3 linked regions of the Caenorhabditis elegans genome follow. The protein of the gene in region 2 purifies or fractionates together with the protein of the main gene of each other region. This does not show direct contact. Each region holds a gene or a part of one and is shown on either strand. Other genes may lie near its edges.

Region 1 (7,066 bases), on a different chromosome or scaffold from region 2:
AATTTCGAATTTTTCAGCTGAAAACTGAGCTAAAATGAGCCAAAAAACACGATTTTCAATTGAAATTTCGAGAAAAAAAAAGCTAAAAATTGAATTTTCGAATAATTTGGGAATTTTGGAGCTCCGATGCGTAGAAAACAAATTTTTGCATGAAAAATTGCAATTTTCTGCGAAAAATCAAGAGTTTTCCAGGAAATATGTCCAAATTCCGCTGAAAATTTAAATATTTTCGTAAATTCGAGAGAAATGATGCAAATTTCATAAAAATGTGCTCCAAATTGGAAATTTCACGTTTTTTTTCCGGAAAAATCGATTTTTCACCAAAAATTGAAAATTTTAAGCGAAAATTGAAGTTTTCCTACATTTCAAAGGTTTAAATTGATTTAAATTGAAAAAAAATCGAATAAAAATTGGAAAAACTGATGAATCATAAAATTGCGAAATAATAATGAGGGGGCAGGCGACCACTTGGAAATTTAAATTTACAATTCTGGAGGGGCAAAAAATGAGAAAAATCAGTTCATTTGAAACAGGAAAGCGGAAAAAATTTTAAAAATTTTTGAATAAATAAATTAAAGCAAGGCAGTATTTACACAAGAAAATTCGAAAAAGTGTGCGTCGATTTACGCAGCTCGTGTAGTCCCCGAGGAGAAGATTTTACAGTTTTTTGGCTTAAAAATGCTTGATTTTCGCTATTTTTCTATCAAAATTAACATTTAAACCGGTTATTTATAGCGTTTTAAGTGAAATTTGAGCGATTTTAAAGTTTTCACCGACAAAAAAAAACCGTGAAAATAGCGAAAATGGCTCAAAATCAACCATTTTAGCAAAAAAAAGTACTTGATTTTGAGCCATTTTCGCAATGTTCACGGTTTTTTTTTTGGCAAAAATCAATGAATTATTTTTATTTTTAACTTTAAAAACACTCAGATTTCACTTAAAAGTGCATAAATAACCGCTTTGAATGTTAATTTTCAAGTAAAAATAGCGAAAATCAAGAATTTCAGCGAAAAATCGTTTTTTTTTTCACCGAAAAAATCAGTAAAAATGCAAAAATGGGTAATAATGCTTGATTTAGAGCTATTTTCACGGGTTTTTCGCTTAAAAATCACCGCTTTGAATGTTAATTTTCAAGGAAAAAATAGCGAAAATCAAGCATTTTTAGCCAAAATCTGTAGAATCTTCTCCTCGAGGAGTACACGAGATCTGCGTAAATCGACACAAAAGAGAGCAATTAATCATCCCATTCATCATCATCAGCTCCTTCTTCACTACTTGAATCATCATTTCCCATAACTTGATCCATTCGTCTCTTCAATATCGCCGCAACATTATTCGCCTCGAGAGCAGCATTCTCGGCGGCTTCTGCCTCGGCTCTTTGCACTTTTTTCAGCTTTATTCCAGATTGAATTTGAGCCAAAAGATCACTTCGAGCATCTGGTTGTTTTGGAGCAACTGGGGAATTTGTGCCAGCAGCTTCACCGTCCGCGGATGGCTGAAAATTTCAGTTTTAGTGGGAGAAAATCGATTTTTTGATGAAAATTCGGCTATTTCTCTTGAAATTTGTCCCTAAAAAAGCTTCAAAAAAGTCCAAAAAACACAGGAAAACTACACATTTTCAGCGGGTTAGACACACATAGAGCCCTGCTGTTCCAGCGCCTTTACCTTTGGAGCCGGAGCTGCAAATGACGCTGCAGCCGAGCTTATAACCATTGGAGGTGGTGGTGGAGGTGGTGGAGGGATCTGAAAGGGATCGAGAATTGAAGAAAGAAGCGGAAAGTGGACAACAATGAGGGAAACACAAAAATGGACAAAAATTGCAAATTTTTAACTGAAAAATTCGGGGTTTTAAGCTTGGAAATTGCAGAAATATAGCTTCAAATTAATTTTATGCACTACAAGAAATCTTGGAGCTTTTCACAAATTTCCAAGCTTTTCCAAGCTGTTTCAAGCTTTTTAAGCTCATCGAAGATATTTCAAGCTCAGTCAGGCTTTTTTAGCTTTTCCAGGCTTTCGCAAGCTTTTTCGAGCTCGTCTAAGCTTTTTGACGCCTTTTCCAAGCTCTTTCAGGCTTTACAAGCTGTTTCAAGCTCGCACGAGCATTTTGAAGTTTTTCCAGGCTTTTTTAAGCTCTGTAAGCTTTTCGAAGCCACTATCGTTCTCTTTCAAGCTGTTTCAAGCTGTTTAAGCTCATCGAAGCTATTTCAAGCTCAGTCAGGCTTTTTCAAGCTTTGTCAAGCTTGTTCAAGCTCCTCCAAGCTTTTTCAAGGCGTTTCCAAGCTTTTTCAGGCTTTTCCCAACTCTTTCAGGCTTGCTCAAGCTTGGTCAAGCTTGTTCAAGCTCCTCCAAGCTTTTCCAGGTTTTTCCAGGCTTTTTCAAACTATTATAAGCTCGTTAAGCTCATTCAAGCTATTTCAAGCTCTGTCAGGCTTTTCCAAGCCTTTTCAAGCTATTACAAGTTCGTTTAAGCTCTACAAGCTTTTCCAGGCTTTTTCTTGCTCTTTCAAGCTTTTCCAAGCTTGTTCAAGCTTTCTTAAGCGTTTTGGAATCTTTTCCTGTCTTTTGCAGGCCTTTTCAAGCCTTTTCCAGGGTTTTCCAAACGTTTTCAAGCCATTTCAAGGTTCTCCAAGCTTGTTCACTATTTTTTCAAGCTCTTTAAGCTTCTCCAAGCTAGTTCAAGCTCTGTCAGGCTTTCCAAACTTGTTCAAGCTTTATCGTTCTCTTTCAAGTTCTTCCAAGCTAGTTCAAGCTCTGTCAGGCTTTTCCAAGCTTTTCCAAACGGTTTCAAGCCGTTTCAAGCCTTTCTAATAGAGTTCAACCAATTTTTCGTGATTTCGTGGCCCAAATGAACAAATTAAAGCGAAAAAGCGAGATTTTGCCTGAAAAAGGCTTAAGGCTTCTAAACGCTCATAATAACTTAGAATAATAGAGACTTTTCACATTTTCTAGTTTTTTCAAGCTTTTCCAAGCTTTTTCGTCGTGAAAACGGACAATTTAAAGCAAAAACGCAAGCTTTTTTCCTCGCAAAAACCAAGATTTTACTCCAAAATCTCCAAATTCTCTCGAGCTCCAAAACGTACATTAGTCGGCGGAGCAGCACTCGGCTCGACAAACTGTATCGTCGACGGAGCTTCTGCTGGTAACTGATGTACAATTGATGTATTCATGAGAAGCGGTGGTGGTGGTGGTGGAAGATCATCATCATCATCATCAATCGATAAAATTGACATATCCGGTGGTGGGAGGTGATCCAGATTCACTGGCGGCGGAGCTTCAGTCGGACGTTTAACATTCGGAGATCCACGAGCTGCTGCTGGAGCACCACCTCGTTGTTGGCTCGGATGCACATTTTGTTGAGGATGATGGTGCATTGTCATTCCGATTGGGGCAACCATGTTGGAGGGGTGCTGAATTTATCAAAAATTGGGAGATTTTCAGTGGAAAAAATCGTTTTTTTCTTCAAAATTACTCCCAGAGAAGGATATTTGGGCTTAATTATCGATTTTTCAGAGTTTTTTTGTCATTTGGAGCATGAAATTTCTTAAAAATTCACTGAAAACTTCCAAAAAACTCGAGTTTTCAGCCTCAAAGACAAGCCAAAATCAATGAAAAACGTTTTTCAACAGAAATGTTTCACTTTTTCACTAAAAATATGCTGAAATTGATAAGTTTTTTTGGAAAAATCCCTAGAAACCGTACAAATTAATTATAAAAACCCTATAAAATCGAATTTTTCAACGAAATCCTCTAGAATCCATAACTTTTCAGCTTCAAAATTATTTGTTCCCATTGAAACTTTCGACTTTATAGGATTTTTATAGTTAATTTGTAGGGTTTCTAGCGATTTTTCCAAAAAAAAAATTATCAATTTTCGCATATTTTTAATGAAAAAGTGGCACTTTTCTGTTGAAAAATTATTTTTTCTAAGGAATTTCCCACTAATTTCATTGATTTTCGCTTGTTTTTCGGTGAAAACTCGGCTTTTTGGAAGTTTCTAGTGAATTTTTATGAAATTTCAAGCCCCAAATGGCTAAAAAACCCAAATATTGGCCCAAAATAGAGAATTTTTGCCTTCTCGGGGAGCACAAGAGCTGTGTAAGCGCTGAAATCTCGTTGAAAAGTTGATTTTCTTTTTAAACAATAGAAAATTCACTTTTTCAGCAAAAAACTCGATTTTTTTTCAAATTTTTGGGCTCAATTATCGATTTTTTCCGATTTTCAACGGTAAAAAATCATTTGAAGCGGAAAAGCTGGGACTTCGTTGAAAAATTCGATTTCATAGTTTTTTTGAAGTTAATTTGTAGGGTTTCTAGCGATTTTTCCAAAAACTTATCAATCTTCGCAGATTTTAATGAAAAAGTGACTTTTTCTCATTGATTTTGGCTTGTTTTTTGGCGAAAAAGTGCATTTTTAGGAAATTTCATGCTCCAAATTACTGGAAACCCATAATTTTGCCCCAAAATAGAACATTTTGGCCTGCTCGGGGAGCACAAGAGCTGTGTAAGCGCTGAAATCTCGTTGAAAAGTTGATTTTCTTTTTAAACAATAGAAAATTCACTTTTTCAGCAAAAAACTCGATTTTTTTCAAATTTTTGGGCTCAATTATCGATTTTTTCCGATTTTCAACGGTTTGGAGATTTTCTCTTCAAAAAATCGAAAAATCTCGCGAAAATCTACCTGATTTTTAAAGTTAAGCTGAAGCCCGAGAGCCTGCGGAGCCTGATATTCCTCCGGGAACGAGAAAACTTCATTCTGCTGATTAATCCGTGATCCACTAATCTGTCGATTCCTATGCTGCATATCATTATAGGCCGTCGTGCCGAGAGGGCCTTGTCCAGGCTGCTTCCGCCGCTTTTTCGGGCTTTTACTCCCGTCGTTCGGGCTTTTTACCCGTCTGGGCCGTTCGGCAACCTCTTTTAGTGTCTCCTTTTTCCATAAATCGAAGAAAAACGAGGGATTTGTGTAGAGAGAGAGCGCAGGGATTTCAGAGTCTCTATACGGATTTAGAGCATCAAGATCCGGCGGTGGATCACATTTTGCATATATTTCAGTCAATGCTGTAGGTAAAGTGCTTCTATCCAGAATATGTTGATCTACAAGCATTGAACTTTTGAATGCTTTTCGCATATTCGCTTCATTCAACGTTGCTTGATCGGAATTTGAATCCAAATCTTCAACTTTCTTGTGCAATCTATCAATTCTCTGTTGAAGAGTGTTCGATTTGTGATTTATTATCATTGCGTCGTGATAAATCTCTCCGAAGATGTTCTCAGCGTGCTTACTGCAAAAAAAAATCGATAAAATTCCAGTTTTCCGACCTAATTTCCCACCTCAACGAGCTCAATTGTCGTACTAAATTGGCGATTGTCCCATTAGCAGTACATTGAAGCTCATCACGATGGATTGTTGATGGAATTGTGCCTCTGCTGAGGTTTACCGGTGATACCGCCCGTTTTGTTAGAGGCATTGCTGAAAATGTGCAGAAATTGCGGGATTATGTGGGTGGAAATTGCGAGAAAGCGTTAGAATTCACAGAAGATGACTTGAAATCGAAAAAAAATCACTTTCTTCCCTGAATAATATGTAAAAATCCATGGATTTAATGGAAATTGGCACGAAAATCGTGAAAAAAATTAGTTAAACATAAAAATTCACTGGAAACTTCATAAAAGCGAGCAGCCAAAATCAATGAAATTAGTTGGAAAATTCCACGAAAAACTCTAATGTTAATGGTAAACACGAAAATGCACTGGAAAAATTATAAAATTGAGTTTTTTAAACAGAAAAGCCACTTTTTTAATAAAATTATGCTGAAATTGGTAACTTTACCGGGAAAAATCGCTAGAAAACATATAAAATTGCTTCATTTACATGCTAAACCCACAAATTCACTGAAAAACTTATAAAACCTAATTTTCCAACGAAATATCATAAAATACATAGTTTTTCAGCTTCAAAATTATTATTTCTGTCAGAAAATGTTTTTTTTCATCGGAAAAACTGCAAAAAACGAGGAAAAACCAATAAAATCTCATGTTTTTCAATTAAAATATCATTAATCCAGAAATGCGCCAAGGTGCACCCGGGATGCGTCAGCAAACACTCACGAGAAGTGCGCAAGCGAGCGTCTGCACTCTCTCGAATACATACAGTGTCTCGCTGTGATTCATCGGAAATATTTTCATTTCCGGAAATGTTTTATATTTATTTAAATATTAATTTTTTTCGGTCTAAAAAATGATATACAAAACAAAAAATCGATACAGGAAAATGCGAAAATAGAATGAGATTGAAATTTCAATATTTACTGTTCAAAATATTCAAAATATCGTGAAATGGCGAGGTTTCGGAGAGATGGTCCTTTTTATTTATCAATGAAATTGTTCTAATTCTGAGAAAAATAACAAAATATAGCTAAATTCTCAATTTTCGCCAACTTGGTTGTGTCACAGAAGCTAAAATTCATTTCGAATACCGAGCCCGTACAGTAGTCATTTAAAGAATTACTGTAGTTTTCGCTACGAGGTATATTTCGCGTCAAATTTGTTACGTAATAAGCATTTCACTTTCCCAACAATTGCCGATTTCTTCTCCAAAATATCCCTCCCGTAAACCTACACAAAATCGACCGTAGTGCGGCACGTTCGCTGCGAGACCCGCCGCGCGTTTGGCCTCAATCTTTTTAGGACTGCCAAATTCGATCGAACATTTTTAGTCTGTCTTCCACGCGGAAACACACTCGTTTTTCTTCAAAAAAAAATCTATCATGGCTTCCCAAGGATTCTCCGTCTACGGTAAGTATAGTAATAAATCGGTGGTGAAAATTAAATTTAAATTTGTACAAATTTTGAATATGATACAAAATTCTCAAAACTTCTGAAACTTTCTCACACTTTTCTTCGATGAACTTTTCTTCGACTTGCAGAAAGTATCGATTTCTGATAATTGTTAGCGTTTTCCGATCGGCCTTCGTTCTCTATGGTTCATTCGTGTTCCTTGACAACAAATCCCGATATTTCAGGTAGTCCCCTTCCACGTGTATAAGTATAACTGAGTCTACTAACTG
Region 2 (4,268 bases):
ATTTTTCAAAATAAATTCACAATTGACTATCTCAACGAAAGCGACTCTTACACATTGCAAACCCCAAATATGGTGGGCGGAAACTTTTACAAAACAAAAAAAAATAAAAATAAATAAATAAATAACTTGATTGAGGTTTCAGCCATTCATAGAAATTTACAATGTATTAATTCCATTTATGTGCATTTGTATGGCAATTTCAATTCTTTCCAATACTACAAGTGTCATATTTTTACGAAATCTGAATATTCAAAGAAAAAAAGCGGAAACAAACTTTTTACTCATAATGTCTATAACATGTTTAGTCCAACTTATTGGAACAATAATTTCTATTGCTTTATTGAAGTGCAACTATTGTTCTATGTTATCATATCTTACAATGGTTCTACCATTTGTTAGTGACGGTTTATCTTTGGTGCAACCTTGGCTGTTGATTTGTTTTAGTAAAACTGTGAGGGTTGAAATATAGTCTCAAGAATGTTATATCCTGATTTTCAGATGAGAAAAGAAATTTTGATATTGTTTGGTATAAAACCTAAAGCAACGATTCTCCAAGTACGATCTTTGACAAACTAAGTTATGAAAATGCGAGTGTATGGAAAGACACAAATTATTTTTAAAATTCCAATTTGATTTTGAAACTTCTTGTTTTACATTTATTAATTGAACATTATTTACATTCATTATTAAGATCAAATTGTTAAAAACCCGTATTTCAAAATAAAGAGATCAAATCACAGAATTTTTAAATTGAGAGCATATCAGTTCACATACTGCTGTCATCGTCAATCACTACAAATGGCCGATGTGATTGATGATTTACTCTTCCAGTTTTTAGAATTAGCCCATTGTTTTTCCATCTGAAAACCTTTATTTTACTCTTGAAAGTTGTTTTATTAGACGAAAGTTACATGTTTAGAAAAATCCGCAAATCAGATTAAACTTACTTTGTCTGCTCTCTGTACTCTTTTCGACTTGTGCAACAAACGTCGTGTGCATGTTTTGAAGTGATGAGGAAGTAGGCACAAAAAATTGAAAAGATGAATGCAGCAATTAATAGCATGGAACCAAACATATGCATGTACGTTGCAATGCCAAGACGCTTCTGGAATTTGAAAAAAAAAATAAAAAGATGACATCAATTTTTTTTCGAATTTTTACATAAATGGGTCCAATGGATCCTCGTTCTCTTCTCGATAAAACTTCTTGGTGTGGCTCAGATTGTTCTTTTGTAAAAATTGGTTTCTGATTAAAAGCAAATATGTAGATAATATCTGCTAATAAAGAACATGCTCCGGTCATAAAGACACCAACTACATAAAGTAGTGCATTTGGTGGAAAACATGGAGAACAGGAGCCAATCAGGATGGAGATTAGTCCGAAAACAAAAGTGAAAACTGCGAAGAAAATTACACCTTTGTGATGAGCTGAAATTAATTTTTTTTTGGTTTCATGAAGAATATAAAATCAACTTGTATCTTCAGTAATTTTGTGTTTGGACAGTAAAATCTAATTTATTGTTACCGCATATTCTAGATCAGAAAATACTAAATTACAAAAAATAGCATTACAGTCCTAGAATTTAAGACAGAAAATCAATTGAATTAATAGCATGGAACCAAACATGTGTATGTACGTTGCAATGCCAATACGCTTCTGTATCCAGAAAGAGAAAATTGATCAACAAATTATTGAACTACTACGCTCACACTCTAATTATTTTAAAAAATAACTTGAACCTGCATTTGGTAAATCAGTTTTATATAGTTTCTAGTTTATCTTTCTAACAAAGAAAAAAGTAAGTTTCGGCACATGAAAAGCATTAAAATATTGTTAACTTACGTAGAAACCGATGTAACAAAAGCTCTCTGGCCTCTTCATCTCCTTTTTCAAGAGCAACTCTTAATGATGCTTGAACCGAAGAATCCATCTTACTATCACATCGATCACCTTAAACTTGTTTTATTTAGAAAACAAAAGCAGAAAAAAGGTACCTCGAAGTTCTGCTTGATCTTCATGTAACGGAATTAAAGTTTCATGATGTACAATACAATCCCACCAAAGACCGTGATGATGTGATAAATGAGAACGAGGAAAATCAACTACCTACAAAATTGACATTTAAAAAAAACCAGAATTTTATTGACTAGAAACTTACTTCCCAAAGAGGACTAAACAACGAGAACGCAGTTAATATTAGCCCGGAAACGATTAAGAATATTGAAGTGACTAATAGAAATTTGTACATAATTAATGGCATTCCGTGGTTACTCTGAAAAATCTTAAACTAGAAGAATGTGGAAACGTGTTAAAAGTGCTAGTTAAAAGGAGAAGTCGTGAGTCTCGAATTTCAAGGAAGATCAAGTGGGCACTTGAATTGGAGGAATGAACGGAAGAATACGTAGAAATGGAGTGAGAGAAGGGTATTGGATTATCTTTTTGCTTTTGCAGGGTGAGAAAATATCGGAATACTTTTAAGGATGTTTAATGAGAATTGTGAAAACTCTGAAGTTTGAGGAGAAAACTTTCTTCTGCTATAAAAGAAAACAAAAGCAGCAAAAACATAATAAACCAGGTGTGTAGACACGTAAATGAATTCAACTATTGCTTCGTATCTGTTTAGTTATATTGCGCAAGTGTCCAGAAATCTCAAATGCCTTCAAAACAAGCTATTGTCCTTGACTGAAGTCATGGAAGTTATTCAGAACAAAATAGAATTTTAAACGAACTTTTTTCTTTTCATTGTCTCGTTTCTATTCTATCTCGTTTCTTAATTGGAACTCAAAGAAAGTAAAAAAAACAAATGAATGAGAATTAGAAAATGCCCAAAATTACTGACAGTCAAGATGTAAGTAGAACAAATGATGAAAAAAAAAACTAGACGAGACATTTTGGTATGGAAGAGAGCAACTTGGAAATTGCACGTCTTGAGTTCCCTTAGGGCCTGGAACAGCTGAGAATGTGTGCAAAAGATTTATTAGGTGTTGAAAGAAAGATGTTGACCATAGGAGTACATTACAAGCGTAGCCTACTTTTCTACATGTTCTGAGTTTCATTTTTATAGATTTCTATGAACCAGCCAAAGTGAGAAAAACAGAACCAATGCAATCATCAGAAAAATAAAACTCAAATTTTTATGAATTAACGCAATGAAATTACATAACAAACCCAAATAAGTCGCTTTTCGTGAAAAATCAACAAATTTGAAAATTACGAAACCCAACAGAGCCACTCAAGATTGTATCTCGATTTTTGATAGACAAGAAGATGTCCAGTTTCGAAATTTTGGCAACATTTCCGGAAGAGGGAAGGAAAACGAACACTTGACATATGGTCGAATTATTCAAAGCACACTCAAAACACATATATAAAATACAATTTTGGATTAGCTATGAGTTTATGGCATTTACAAAAAAACCAAAGCACTTGAAATTCCCACGGAGAAGAAATTGAGAAATAAATGTTCAAAGAGCGGATTTAAGTGAATGATGTTGGAAACGAAAATATAACTACAATTAAAGTGTCCACCTAGTTCAAATATAATTTGGAATATTTGAAAGGTGTAGAGGATGTTGGAACCTTTTTCCTCGAAAACTCAGAAAACGTCTCATCGAATTAAAGTTTGTTTTCATCTCTTCCCGCCGCTTCTTTTTCAATTTTATGCAAAGTCCAAATGTCAGTTTCTATTGACATATCCTTGTATAGAGGTCATCAGACTAATTTTCTCAAATTGAAGAAGATCAATAAACACTGACTTTAAGAAAAACGAATATAGCCTGACGCAAAAACAAGTGGAATTACTTTTTAGTTGGGCGTATTTTTATTTCTCATGCAGATAAGGCGATGAGGGGGGCTTGTATATTCATTTCTAAGAAGAAAAATGTAATTATCTTTTTAGGTATTGCAGGTATCGAAAGAAAAATTTCGGCAGGATTCTGGGCATGTTGCTGAGAAAATTTAACTTTTTTTAAAAAATAATTTAAATCTTGTTGCATTTTGCATATATCAAAAAATCATTAAGTAAATATTTTTCAGTAACACTAACTGGAAGACAATTTTTTCATTCATTCAAAAAAAAGCTAGACATGAGAATGAACTTTTTTTATTTTCAGATTCTATGAAACATTTTGAAATGCAAGAACCGCTAAGAAAAGGTGAGAAAATGCTATTCACCCATTTTTCTCATTTCCAATGCATGAAATCTCCTAAATTCTAAATCGTAGGTGCACTCTCCGCAAATTGTTCGTTGAGAAGGCGGAGACTCTGGA
Region 3 (3,091 bases), on a different chromosome or scaffold from region 2:
AATAAAACTGGGAGCGAATGGGTTGGGGAAATTGACTACAATTGTGATGAAAAAGACGAGAGAGATTAGTTGAATATGGAGGGGAGGGGATTCAAATAAATAATATCTACAGAATTTTCAAAAAAAAAAGGTTTGATTTAATATATTTTGCGGTGTGAATTGTAAATTTTCGAGTAGATTGAGTCGTGGATTGTGCCTAGTTTAGCGTTGAGCTTTCGAGTGATCGATGAGCCATTGGAGGGTGATATCTGGAAAACAATTCAGTTTAGAATGGTTCAAAGATTTAAAAAATTACCAATATTCTCCTTCTCTTTGCATGAAATAGAATAGCAGCAAATCTCGCGATTCTGGATTGATGACAGATTCATTCTTTCGATCAATTGCCGCTCATCAAGTGCTCCAGGCAAATCCTTCTTGTTTCCGAGCACCAAAACTGGAATAGCGTCGAGCTGTGGCTTGTCCAACAGCTGCATAAGCTCATTTCTGGATGCTTCGAGCTTCTCCTCGTCGGCAGCGTCCACCATGAAGACGATGGCGTTGACACCGCGGCAATATCGTTCCCACATCGAGCGGAACCGTGGCTGGCCCCCGATATCCCATAATTTGATCGTCACGTTGCCTTTGGTGATCTTCCGCATATTGAATCCGACTGTTGGGATCATATCTTCTGTGAATTGGCCGCTCTAAAGTGAAGAACATTGAATTTAAATTTATTTTCCAGAAAAACTAACAGCAATAACATTGACAAATGTCGTTTTTCCAGAGTTTTGGAGCCCAACAAGTGTCAACTCCATCTCCTCTTTCCAAAAAAGACTGCGAATCCAGTCGAGAACCTTATTCACCATAGCCAACATCTTGAATATTGATGTTGAATGAGGAAATTCCTGAAAAGTGCAATTCGATTGAAAAGGGTGTGTGTGTGAGAGAGCACAAAGAAAAACAGAAGGGTTTAACGGAAAACCGCTATTAATTTTGGAGCAAGCTCGCTTTTGCTGTTGAAAAAAAAACAAGTAGAAATATTGATTTTCCTTATCGCAAAATTTATTTTGCAGTAACTTTCACGAAATCAAAACCAATGAATCATCGAGAATAGTCAACAAAACACGTGATGTCTATAAAATTTTGAGAGAAACGTTTCAAAACAATAGAATTGCTAAAAGCAGATAGTTTCATTGGATAATATCGGATTGCAATAAGAGTTTTCAGTGAATATAGTCTTAATTTTTACAAATTTCTCAAGCGGACACAGTTTTTTGCTCAGTTTGCTCGATTTTCTAAAATCTGAATTTACGTTTGTCTAACCCATTCTCAATGAATGTATGGAATTTTTGAAAAAACTAATGAATAATCAGTCTATTTCCTTGAAAATTCTCAAAAAATCGATAGAAAATCCCGAAAATCCGTCGAAAATTACGAAATCCAAAGCCAAATCAGTGCGACAAGGAGCCAATCGAACGACCGCTGACATCAAAGGCGCACGCAGTTTCGAGGACGGGTTTCGCCGCGATCGAGTGTGTCGATTTACGCAGCACGCGGCACACCGGCGACCATCCTTCACCGTTTTTCAGCTTTTCAGCGTTGAATGCACGCTTCGGAAGCCGTTCAACAACAACTAAAGGACGACTGGGATAATCGCGAGTTTGAGCAGGTTAGTAGACGGAAAAAAATGATGGAAATCGATTGAAATGTGAATGAAAATTGATTAAAAATGGTTGTTGAAATTTTTGAATATTTTTAACTGCGGTGTTGAAATAGCTTTTCACTTCAGTAGGTTGTGATTTTATACAATTTTACAACAAATATTCATGTGTGAATTCATATCTCCCACACTAACCCGTACTAACTTTCAGATTATTGCCGATAACATCAAGAACATCGCTAACTTCTTGTCCAGCTTTGGTTTGTAGAAAAATTATTATTTTAAATTAATTCCTTTAAAAAATATCTGATTTCTTCCAGAGCTCTCTTGCCGCACAAAACTAGCGACTCTCAGCGACAAGCTTAACCTTTTGGAACGAAAGGTCGAATTTCTTGAAGCCCGTGTCACCAAAGGAGATACTCTTTCGTAATAATGTCTGCAACTGCCGGAAGAGTCGTCCGTGCCGGACAACACGCCGTTCGCACCGTCGCTCCAATCAAATCCAACAATTCCGCCGAGGCACGCATGTCGGTTCTCGCCGCTTATAAGGAGTTCCAACGTCTCACTCCAAAGTTCTGGTGGGATTTCGGACTTCATGATATGCCGCTCGGCGTGTTCCGTGCTGTCATCAAGAAGCAATTCACAAAGAACGGACATCTCACCGATGTTCGTGTCGTTGACAGACTTGTCGGAGAAACTCATCAGGTTTTTGAATAAAATTTAAATTTTCTAAACTCTAATTGTCACTTTCAGCACATGAAATCGATCCGTTACGCATTCTACAACCCGGATCACGTGCGCAACTACCTGTTCGCTGAAAATGTCGAAGCCAAGCCAAAGGACTTCCTCTCCAAATTCCTCAACGGAAAGGAATAGATTTTTTATTTTTCAGTGTTTTATGTGTAATTGTAAAGTAAATTCTCGTATTTTAAATCGAATCGGCTGATACTAGAAGGAATAAAATCTGATTTTTTGACTTAAAAATTGATTTGGCAGGTTCTACGACCTAATTTTATTTCTTTTTCGATTTTTTTTGTTTATTTTGATTGAATTTTATTTTTCCTGGTAGATGATCCCTTCACGAAGTGCCAGAATCATCGCAAAGCTACAACGACTACACTCGACTACTTCAGCCGCTTCAGTATCTTCTATTGATGTAAAAGAGGTAAAACATATAAAAATAAGCTATTTATCTGTAGAAAAATTATTTTAGGTCGAAAAATTCGGAGACTTGTCTGCAGAATGGGCTGATGAACTGGGTCCCTTCCACGCACTTCACTCATTAAACAGGATTCGAGTTCCTTGGATTGTCGATAATGTTAGAAAAAGCGATCAGAAGGCTCCTCCTCGATTAGTGGACGTTGGAAGCGGAGGGGGTCTTTTGTCGATTCCACTGGCCAGAAGTGGATTCGATGTTACAGGAATTGATGCGACGAAGCAAGCTGTAAGGGA

Evidence for each region. The genes of interacting proteins can lie anywhere in the genome.
Region 1: the proteins of hpo-30 (region 2) and wve-1 purify together in Caenorhabditis elegans (co-purification; one study listed by BioGRID). This does not show direct contact.
Region 3: the proteins of hpo-30 (region 2) and Y57G11C.1147 purify together in Caenorhabditis elegans (co-purification; one study listed by BioGRID). This does not show direct contact.

The regions. Positions count from the first base shown.
Region 1 is NC_003279.8:11,924,041-11,931,106, forward strand, and holds wve-1 (Wiskott-Aldrich syndrome protein family member), read right to left. Parts: upstream 5,477-7,066; 5' UTR 5,468-5,476; coding exon 5,331-5,467; intron 5,282-5,330; coding exon 4,678-5,281; intron 3,408-4,677; coding exon 3,081-3,407; intron 1,744-3,080; coding exon 1,666-1,743; intron 1,496-1,665; coding exon 1,235-1,495; 3' UTR 501-1,234; downstream 1-500. Other genes in the region: R06C1.4 (RRM domain-containing protein), read left to right, coding at 6,767-6,794.
Region 2 is NC_003283.11:12,308,083-12,312,350, forward strand, and holds hpo-30 (Clc-like protein), read right to left. Parts: upstream 2,275-4,268; 5' UTR 2,261-2,274; coding exon 2,159-2,260; intron 2,107-2,158; coding exon 1,995-2,106; intron 1,951-1,994; coding exon 1,843-1,950; intron 1,428-1,842; coding exon 1,162-1,427; intron 1,106-1,161; coding exon 948-1,105; intron 861-947; coding exon 767-860; 3' UTR 643-766; downstream 1-642. Other genes in the region: srg-45 (Serpentine receptor class gamma), read left to right, coding at 1-72, 143-451, 499-576.
Region 3 is NC_003282.8:14,795,942-14,799,032, reverse strand, and holds Y57G11C.1147 (Protein BRICK1), read left to right. Parts: upstream 1-1,518; 5' UTR 1,519-1,582; coding exon 1,583-1,648; intron 1,649-1,850; coding exon 1,851-1,899; intron 1,900-1,959; coding exon 1,960-2,069; 3' UTR 2,070-2,071; coding exon of another isoform or gene 2,072-2,344; intron 2,345-2,392; coding exon of another isoform or gene 2,393-2,515; 3' UTR 2,516-2,591; downstream 2,592-3,091. Other genes in the region: arl-8 (ADP-ribosylation factor-like protein 8B), read right to left, coding at 202-248, 296-683, 732-854; nuo-3 (NADH dehydrogenase [ubiquinone] 1 alpha subcomplex subunit 6), read left to right, coding at 2,072-2,344, 2,393-2,515; coq-3 (Ubiquinone biosynthesis O-methyltransferase, mitochondrial), read left to right, coding at 2,709-2,804, 2,853-3,083.